Linked DNA regions of Rhinolophus ferrumequinum. The protein of the gene in region 1 purifies or fractionates together with the protein of each later gene. This does not show direct contact. Links are inferred from orthologs where the notes say so. Each region holds a gene or a part of one and is shown on either strand. Other genes may lie near its edges.

The links.
Region 2: the proteins of BCAP31 (region 1) and cytochrome b5 purify together in Homo sapiens (co-immunoprecipitation; 4 studies listed by BioGRID and IntAct, with this or other methods). This does not show direct contact. The link is inferred for Rhinolophus ferrumequinum from reciprocal best matches to the Homo sapiens genes BCAP31 and CYB5A.

Annotation. Positions count from the first base shown.
Region 1 is NC_046284.1:6,695,520-6,699,424, reverse strand, and holds the start of BCAP31 (B-cell receptor-associated protein 31), read right to left. Parts: upstream 2,591-3,905; 5' UTR 2,440-2,590; intron 1,329-2,439; 5' UTR 1,288-1,328; coding exon 1,196-1,287; intron 1-1,195. Other genes in the region: ABCD1 (ATP-binding cassette sub-family D member 1), read left to right, coding at 3,269-3,905. UniProt on the Homo sapiens protein: Functions as a chaperone protein. Is one of the most abundant endoplasmic reticulum (ER) proteins.
Region 2 is NC_046302.1:56,994,613-56,998,517, forward strand, and holds the start of cytochrome b5, read right to left. Parts: upstream 2,502-3,905; 5' UTR 2,387-2,501; coding exon 2,258-2,386; intron 1-2,257.

The DNA.
Region 1 (3,905 bases):
AAATGCTTGCCACGTACACATTATTTCTTTAAGCTGTTTTTCCATGTGACCAATCTTGATTCACCTAGAATCCCACCACCCTGGGTTATCATGAAGCAGAGCCAACTTCCCTTCGCTTCCCTTCGCTTCCCTCCACGAAGACTTGAGAACGCACCTCTATCAGAGAACCTTCGGAAATGGTTAATGTAATCACAATGCCACCACCAGACCTCCAGAAAATCAGTAAAAATCCCTCATTATCAGAGTCAGAATCCCAGCGCCTAACTGTTGCATTTTTTAATAGCTGCTTTGTTTGAATCCATACCAACAAGCTTCTGATTCTGCAATGAGTTGAGAACTTAAATCTCTCACTCTATAAGTTCCCCCTTCCCACACCCCCTTTTGTTTCCTTTCCCAATTTACTTTTTGCCGACAACAAGTTGTTTGCCCCACAAAGCTTCCCAGATTGCAGCTCCAAAGGGGCCTCTGTCTCTGCCATTTCCTCTGAACTGTGTGAGCTGTGAAGATTCAGCTCTGGCTTTTGGCGAGAATAGTCCTTAGGCAGTCCTTAGGATACTGCCGATTGCATCACATCAGGTGTCTGTATTTTTCACTAAAAACGGTTTTTAAAAGTAGCTGTGGAGACTCAGCCTTATTGATAACATTCTATTTTAAGTCAGAACAATGTGTTCATATATATTATATGTAATTAAAAATTAATTTCCAATTAACTTTTAACAGGCCCTCTGCTCACCGAAAGGGACTATTGCTTCACCCTTCACGGGCTGAGTAATGCTCATGAGGCTACTACACAATGCCAGCGCGACTAGTTAGGAGGACAGAAGTCACTAAATCAGCAACAACATGTCCCCGTGGTGCACGTCTTCCGGATCCCACACTGCCATGCCCTGAACCTCAGGGACCCAAGGGAAGGCAGGAGGGCATCATTCCCAGAACCGTAATCAGAGCTGGGTCTTCTCCCCTTTGGGGCATTCTCAAGACCAGGAGACAGGGTACACAGTAAAGGAACTCGGCAAGATGTGACAAAGCTGAATGGTGTGGAAGGTTGGCAGTGGTAAACACAACCCCTGCCACCCCCACCCCGACAGGTTCTACCTGTTTCTGTCTGGCCCCATTTCCAGGGTCCACCAACTTTGCACACATAAGCTACAGGGCTCTTACTTGCTTGCCTCCTTCCTCCACAGGCCATCCATACCTTTTGGGTGAAATGAAGGGGATGCAGAGAAGCAGCACAGCAAAGACCTCTGCATAGAGGAAGGTGGCAACTGCAGTCCACTGCAGACTCATCCTGTTGCTAGGTTTCCAACAGGGAGATGGGAGCTTGTTTCCTGACAGGGCACAGAAGGAACAGGAGTCATGAGAGCTGGAACGGCCATGCTACCCTGTACCCCAGCATTCGACTCCAGTCTTTAAAGCATTGGCTGAAACGGGCGCTTGATTCAGCAGGGAGACTTGACAATAGTGCTCAAATGCCCGACCAACTGCCACTTGAAGGGGCGGAGTGACTTTGCTACCCCCTAGTGTGTTAACGCTCCAGAGCCACCTTTTCTGGACCAATTCCTCTTTCCCCAAGACACTCCTTATGCCTGTTTAAGTGAGAACGCGTTTTTTAATAAAGAAGATGACACAGACAGAAGGGAAGATTATAGAGACAAGGAAATTCTCAACACCCATCAGGCCCGTTCCCCCCGCCCCCCCCCCAGCCACCGGGAGCTCTGCAGCAGAGGCTCCCAGCTCCTAGGCAGCCCAGAGGCGGCAGTATTTCAGCAACGCACTTTCTCTGAAAGCCGAGGCGCCCCCACCCCCCACCTGGGGAAAACAGGAGGCCCTTCCCTCCCAGCCCTTTCCAACAGAGCTGGAAAAACCCAGCGGCTCCCTCTGGGGCTAGAGCGGAGGCTAACAGGCCTTCCGACTGCCGCCGCGTCTGCCTCCGATGGGGCTGGAGGACTAGAAGTACCTCAAAAAAGCCCAGAAGAGCGACTCCTAGAGGGCGGGAATCGGGGCCAAGAGCAAATGCAGGTCTCCACTAAGCACCTCACGGACTCATCTAGAGAAAGTTCTAGAAGAAGCTGTCCTCAGAAGCCAGAAGAGCTCCTCCTGGCAGCCCTGGTCAGCCACAGTGCCCACCTGCCTCGGGAACCGCCGCGCGCGACCCCCCTACATGGCCCTGGCCCGGCACGCCCTCCCCAAGTCCCATCCCGGCGACTCCTCCGGAGGGGCTTCGCCACCGCCCCCCGCGGCCGGCCCTGACACCGCCAAAGCCCAGCTCCGCCCGCCGCCACTCCGACTTTCCCGAACCCGCCCCTGCCTCCGCACTCCCGGCTCGGCCTCCAGCCCTGCGCCCCCGGGCCTCTCGGGGCTCCCCGCCGCTTTCCATCGTCGAGGGGATGGGAGACACCGGCGACCCCGGAGACCACCCAGGCGCGCGGCCCAGCTCACCGAGCTTCCCACAGACACCTCGCACGCCTAGCCGCTGCCGCCAAACTCTCCTACTCGGGCCTTGGCCCCACCCCTTCCCCCGCAGCCGGAAACCGGAAGCGCTCGCACGGCCTTGCCCCTTCCCCAACCCAAGAGAGGACCCGAAGGTTCCGCCCACGGCCGCTTTCCACCCCGCCTCCCCGAGCCGAGGCGCCAACGCCCAGGACTGGAGAAGAAGCGCGCAGGGAGAGGGGCGGGGCCTTGGCGGGAACACGAGGGGCCGCTTCTCTAGCCCGCGCGGTCCTCCCAAGTCTCTGTGGTCTGGGAAGGGGGCGGGGCCCGACCGTGGGGCAAGAACGGGGTGGGAAGCCTTGCACCCGAGCTCCGCCTCCCGCCCCTCCTCCGCCTCCTCCCCTTCCCCCGACTCGGCCCTGGGGAGGGGTGGGTGGGTGGGGATTCTGGGCGGGTGGCGGAATCACTGTCGCTTCAGCCAGGCTTCGGAGAGGACGTACGCGCCTGGTGCCCCGGGGAGGGGCGCCACCAGGGGAGGAGGAGGAGGAGGTGGAGAGGAAGAGACGCCCTCTTTGCCCGAGCCCTCTCGAGGCTCTGACCCTAAGGGCTAGGAGACTGACAAGTTCCTCCACCTCGTCTGTCCGAAGAGGCCGCGACCCTGGAGGGATCTGAGCACCAGGGGCGCCCCAGTGGCCTAGAGCTACAGTCTCAGGGACCACTGCAAGGTTTCCAGTTGCCTAGATAACGAGCCGAGGTCAGAGCAACAACTCTTCTAGCCACCTGCCTGGACTGCTGGCTCAGGCACCAGTCCCAGCCCCGTGCGTCCAGCCCAGGTGACATGCCGGTGCTCTCCACCCCCCGGGCCTCGCGGGTGACCACGCTGAAGCGCACAGCTGTGGTCCTGGCCCTCACAGCCTATGGAGCCCACAAAATCTACCCCCTGGTGCGGCAGTGCCTGGCTCCGGCCAGGGCCCCTCAGGTGCCTGCACGGGAGTCCACACAGGAGGCCTCTGGGGCCACAGTGGCCGCAGCAACCAAGGCCGGTGTGAACCGGGTGTTCTTGCAGCGACTCTTGTGGCTCCTGAGGCTGCTCTTCCCCAGGATCTTGTGCCGGGAGACGGGGCTGCTGGCGCTGCATTCGGCCGCCCTGGTGAGCCGGACTTTCCTGTCAGTATATGTGGCCCGCCTGGATGGACGGCTGGCCCGCTGCATCGTACGAAAGGACCCTCGGGCCTTTGGCTGGCAGCTCCTGCAATGGATCCTCATTGCCCTCCCAGCCACCTTCATCAACAGCGCCATCCGCTACCTTGAGGGCCAGCTGGCGCTGTCTTTCCGCAGCCGTCTAGTGGCCCATGCCTACAGCCTCTACTTCTCCCAGCAGACCTACTATAGAGTCAGCAACATGGACGGGCGGCTCCGCAACCCTGACCAGTCCCTGACGGAAGATGTGGTGGCCTTTGCTGCCTCTGTGGCCC
Region 2 (3,905 bases), on another chromosome or scaffold:
TGCACGCCATCCTCCTTAGGGGTTGGGGGGTCCACTCCCATTGTGTCGGCCACCTTCCACTTCAACCTCAATGCATTCCTGGTCTGTGAGCCAGCTGGTCCTTTCTTTCCCTTCTTGCCCACGCTGACTTGAGGTCCCGTCTATTAGAGCCCGCCGGACTCTCCCATCACCGTCTGGGGCCACTCCTGACAGCTGAACACAGCTTTGTGTGTCACCAGTCCCGCCCACAGCATTGTTTTCTGTTATTCCTGCTTCCTGGAATGGAAATGGCTTCTCGGGTTCTGGTCTCCTGAGGGAGACGGAGGCTACAAGAGCTCAGCAGATACTGCATCCACTGATCAGAAGGAAGGGCATGAAGAGCAGAGAGCAGCGAAGGGCATGAAGAGCAGAGAGCAGCAGGGACCCAAACTCAAGTCCCAGGGAGGCTCATAAAAATGAAATGTCAATGGTTTATAGTCAGGTTTAATAATCTTCTCTAATTATCTCCTTCCGAGAAATTTACCCTTAGAAGTTATGCAAAACATATTTTAGGGCAAGGATTCCTGACTAGGAATGATTTGTGTCCCCAAGGGGACATTTGGCAATAACTGGACACAGTTTTGGTTGTCCCTAGTGGGGGAGGGGGTGCTACTAACATCTGATGGGGGAGGCCTGGGAGTCCAGTACAACACAACGTATAGGACAGAATCCAACAAAAAGAAAAAAAATGATAAATGCTTCATAATATAAAATAGCCCATTATTCGTGTATAAACACTATTCTTTTTAATAGACACAAACAAAGTAACACTGAATGTTAAAAACTCAAAATTACTTATATCATGGGGGTGGGTAACCACTGCAAAGTAGACATTTGGTGTCTATTACACCTGATGTTATATTTGAGATTGTTAGTTCAAAAAACTCTAATGCCAAATAAACTCCAGTTCAGCAGAAGGGACGGGGCAGTTCTGATTGATTCCCAACCAGAAACCACTCCTAATTAAACTGGGGCCCTATTTTATATTCCAGCACCCCACAGAATGGCAAGTTCATAGTTAAATATGTTTCTAATAAACTTCAACACTAACCTTTTTAAAAACAATTAAAAAGAAAAAATTCTGTGCAAAACAAAAGTCCGTGGATGTCCCCTGATTCAGCTAAGACCAGGCCTCTGTCTTAGCGATCCCCTCAAACTACGTAAAGAATTCCCATCAGGAAACATTCTCCTTTATTGTCTGGGGGGATGAAGGAAGGTAAGTGTTCATTAAGATTTATGACTCAGACTCCCCCACAGTGATAAAAGAGGTAGCCAAGAAAAGCCCCTCAGAATTTACTGCAAACATTCTTACCTACCGCAAAGAATCTTATCAAAGGAATGTTTTCAAGTTAAGCAAAGTTATTTCACAACTTCCAAAGTTGCTTAAGGAAGGATCAAGTCCCACTGTGCTTTTCCTTCTCTGTCCCTCTCCCTTCCTTCTTCAGCCGGGCCAGCCACACACCCAGCCGGGCAGTCCCAGGGGGCCGGTACTGTACCTCATTGCAAAGTCCTCAGGCGATGCGTTAACAATTACAGAGTGCCTTCTCGGTGAAAGTGGGTGGGTGTAGGCGTGGATGGTGGAGTGGGCCTATGCGTGCTGAGAGAGCGGGTGCGGCCCACACACTCTGACCTCTGAACCAACTCAGGGTCCCCTCTTGTGGGATCCCACAGCTCCCGAAGTGGGTAGTCTCCAAACTGCTCCTATTAGGAATCCACTCCTGGAATAACAGAAGTGGGACGACCCTGTCCCAGGTGGAGACTCCAGCTATGAATAACCCAAGAATAAAAGGATCTTTCCAAATGCTTCATCCTAGCTGCGCCCACTGCTCAGGAAGCAGTTGCAGCCGCGCCTTCGCTTCCCACTAAGTGCGGGGCGGCGCTCTCCCACACGCTTCCGCAGAGGCTCCAGAGGCAGCGCCTGCCCCACAGCGGCTCGCCGCGCAGTCGTGCTGGCCTAGGAGCCTCGGGTCGCTCCCAGGTGGGCGCGCACAGGTGTGCAGACTCCGGAGGCGCACAAGCGGGGACTGACCCCGGATGTGCAGAGATAGGTGCGCACAGAGAGATGCGGACTCGGGGACGCACACACAGGCGTGCAGGCGCGGGGACCGCTCCCAGGGCTGTAGCGTTGCGTGAGCAGAGTCGGGGCGCACACACAGCCGCGCACCTCATCCCTGCGGCGCAGCGAACGACAGGCTGGGAACCTCCACACCCGGGTTGGCGTCGCGCCTCACTAACTCACCTCCTCCAAAAATTTGGTCAAATCGTACACTTTGTGATGCAGGATCAGCCAGGTGCTCTTGCTATGGTTATGCTTCTGTATCTCTTCCAGGGTGTAGTACTTGACGGTCTTGTCCAACTGCTCGGCCATTTCGGAACGCGGCGAGCCTCAGGCCCTGCAGACACCAGCCGAGCCAGAAGGAGCACAGCGCGCGTCTCAACCAGCCAGGCCCGGGACATTCCCCGCGGCTCGGCCCCGCGCCGGGGGCAGGGCAGCCGACGCCACTGAGGGGACGGCCAGCGACGGCCTCTCATGATTGGCCGGAGTCCGTGTCACTCAAGTGGCCCGCCCTTGACCTACGCGCTCCACCAGCCCTGGGCGCCCCCCAGCAGAGCAGCTGTTGATTGGTTACAGAAGTTGCCCTCCAACGATCACGGCTGTTGGAATGCGTGGGGGGCGGGGAGAGGCGGGGCTTCCCTTGCGCCTGCGCAGAAGGCGGGTTGGTGGGGTGTGACCTGGGTGACAGGGTGACAGGGTGGGCAAGGCGGCGTGGCTGTCAAAGGAGGGTTCACAGGGGCCAGCGCAGAGTCCACTGTCCCGGGCAGCGACCGCACATCAAAAACGTCGTGGTTTTCCAATCAAGGCAGATCAGCCAGACCTGGAGGTTAATTTGTAACAAAGTCTTTCCTCTGTGAGTCTCAGGGATAAACTATTAGCGTGACGAGAGACATGAACGAGCCTCGTGGACGTTAAAACATGCAGTGCCGTCCCTTAGCCTCCGTGAAACAAGTGTACTGCCCAGAACAAACTGTAATTCTAATTTTGCTTGACTACCTCTTCCACCCCCCAGGACTGCCCAGTTCTCACAGGAGAAAAACAAACCCGGGAAAATTATTTGTTTATAAAAAGCGAAATGTTCTAATTATTTCTGTAACTGATGTACTCCGCTGTTACCCATTGGCTAGGCGAGTTCTTGTATTAGTGTCTTTCTTGGCTTGGCTCAACAGTATATTGTTAAGGTGAATCCTAAATGATTGACAGCACTTTGAGTCAACTCTGGAAGAGTACCTCCCCCGTGGGCACTCACGTGAAGGTTTACAAACACTCGAAGAGAAAACAAAACAGAAAAGTTGCAGCATATTAAAAAGTCATCTGATATTTATTAAGGCCCTTTTAGCAACGGTAGGTAATTCCACAAAGAGCTACACCACAGGCTGCACACCTAGGTCATCCTCCCAGGGACTGAGCACAGTTCTGTCACCATCGGTGCTTGTGAATGTCAGTTCCCCCATCCCCACCCCCACCCCTTCCCGCCTCTATATGAATGCATTCCTTTTGAGAAGAAAGCATTCCAAATATTCTTTAGCCTTTCACATGATGGAACACATTGATTTTCAAATACTAAACCAGCCTTGCACCTCCGAAATAAACCCCGCTCATATATCTTTAATACATTTTGATATATAAATGAAGTATATGTTGAGTTCTTGCATCTATAGTTATGAAATATTCATGTGTAATTTCTGTTTATACATTGTATTTGTCTGGTTTGGGTATCAGAGTAATACTGCTTCGTAGAATGAGTTGCTATTCCCGTCTATTTTTTCTAGAAGAGATTATGTACAATTGGTGTTACTCTTTAAGTTTCAAGAATTTTCCAGTGAAATCA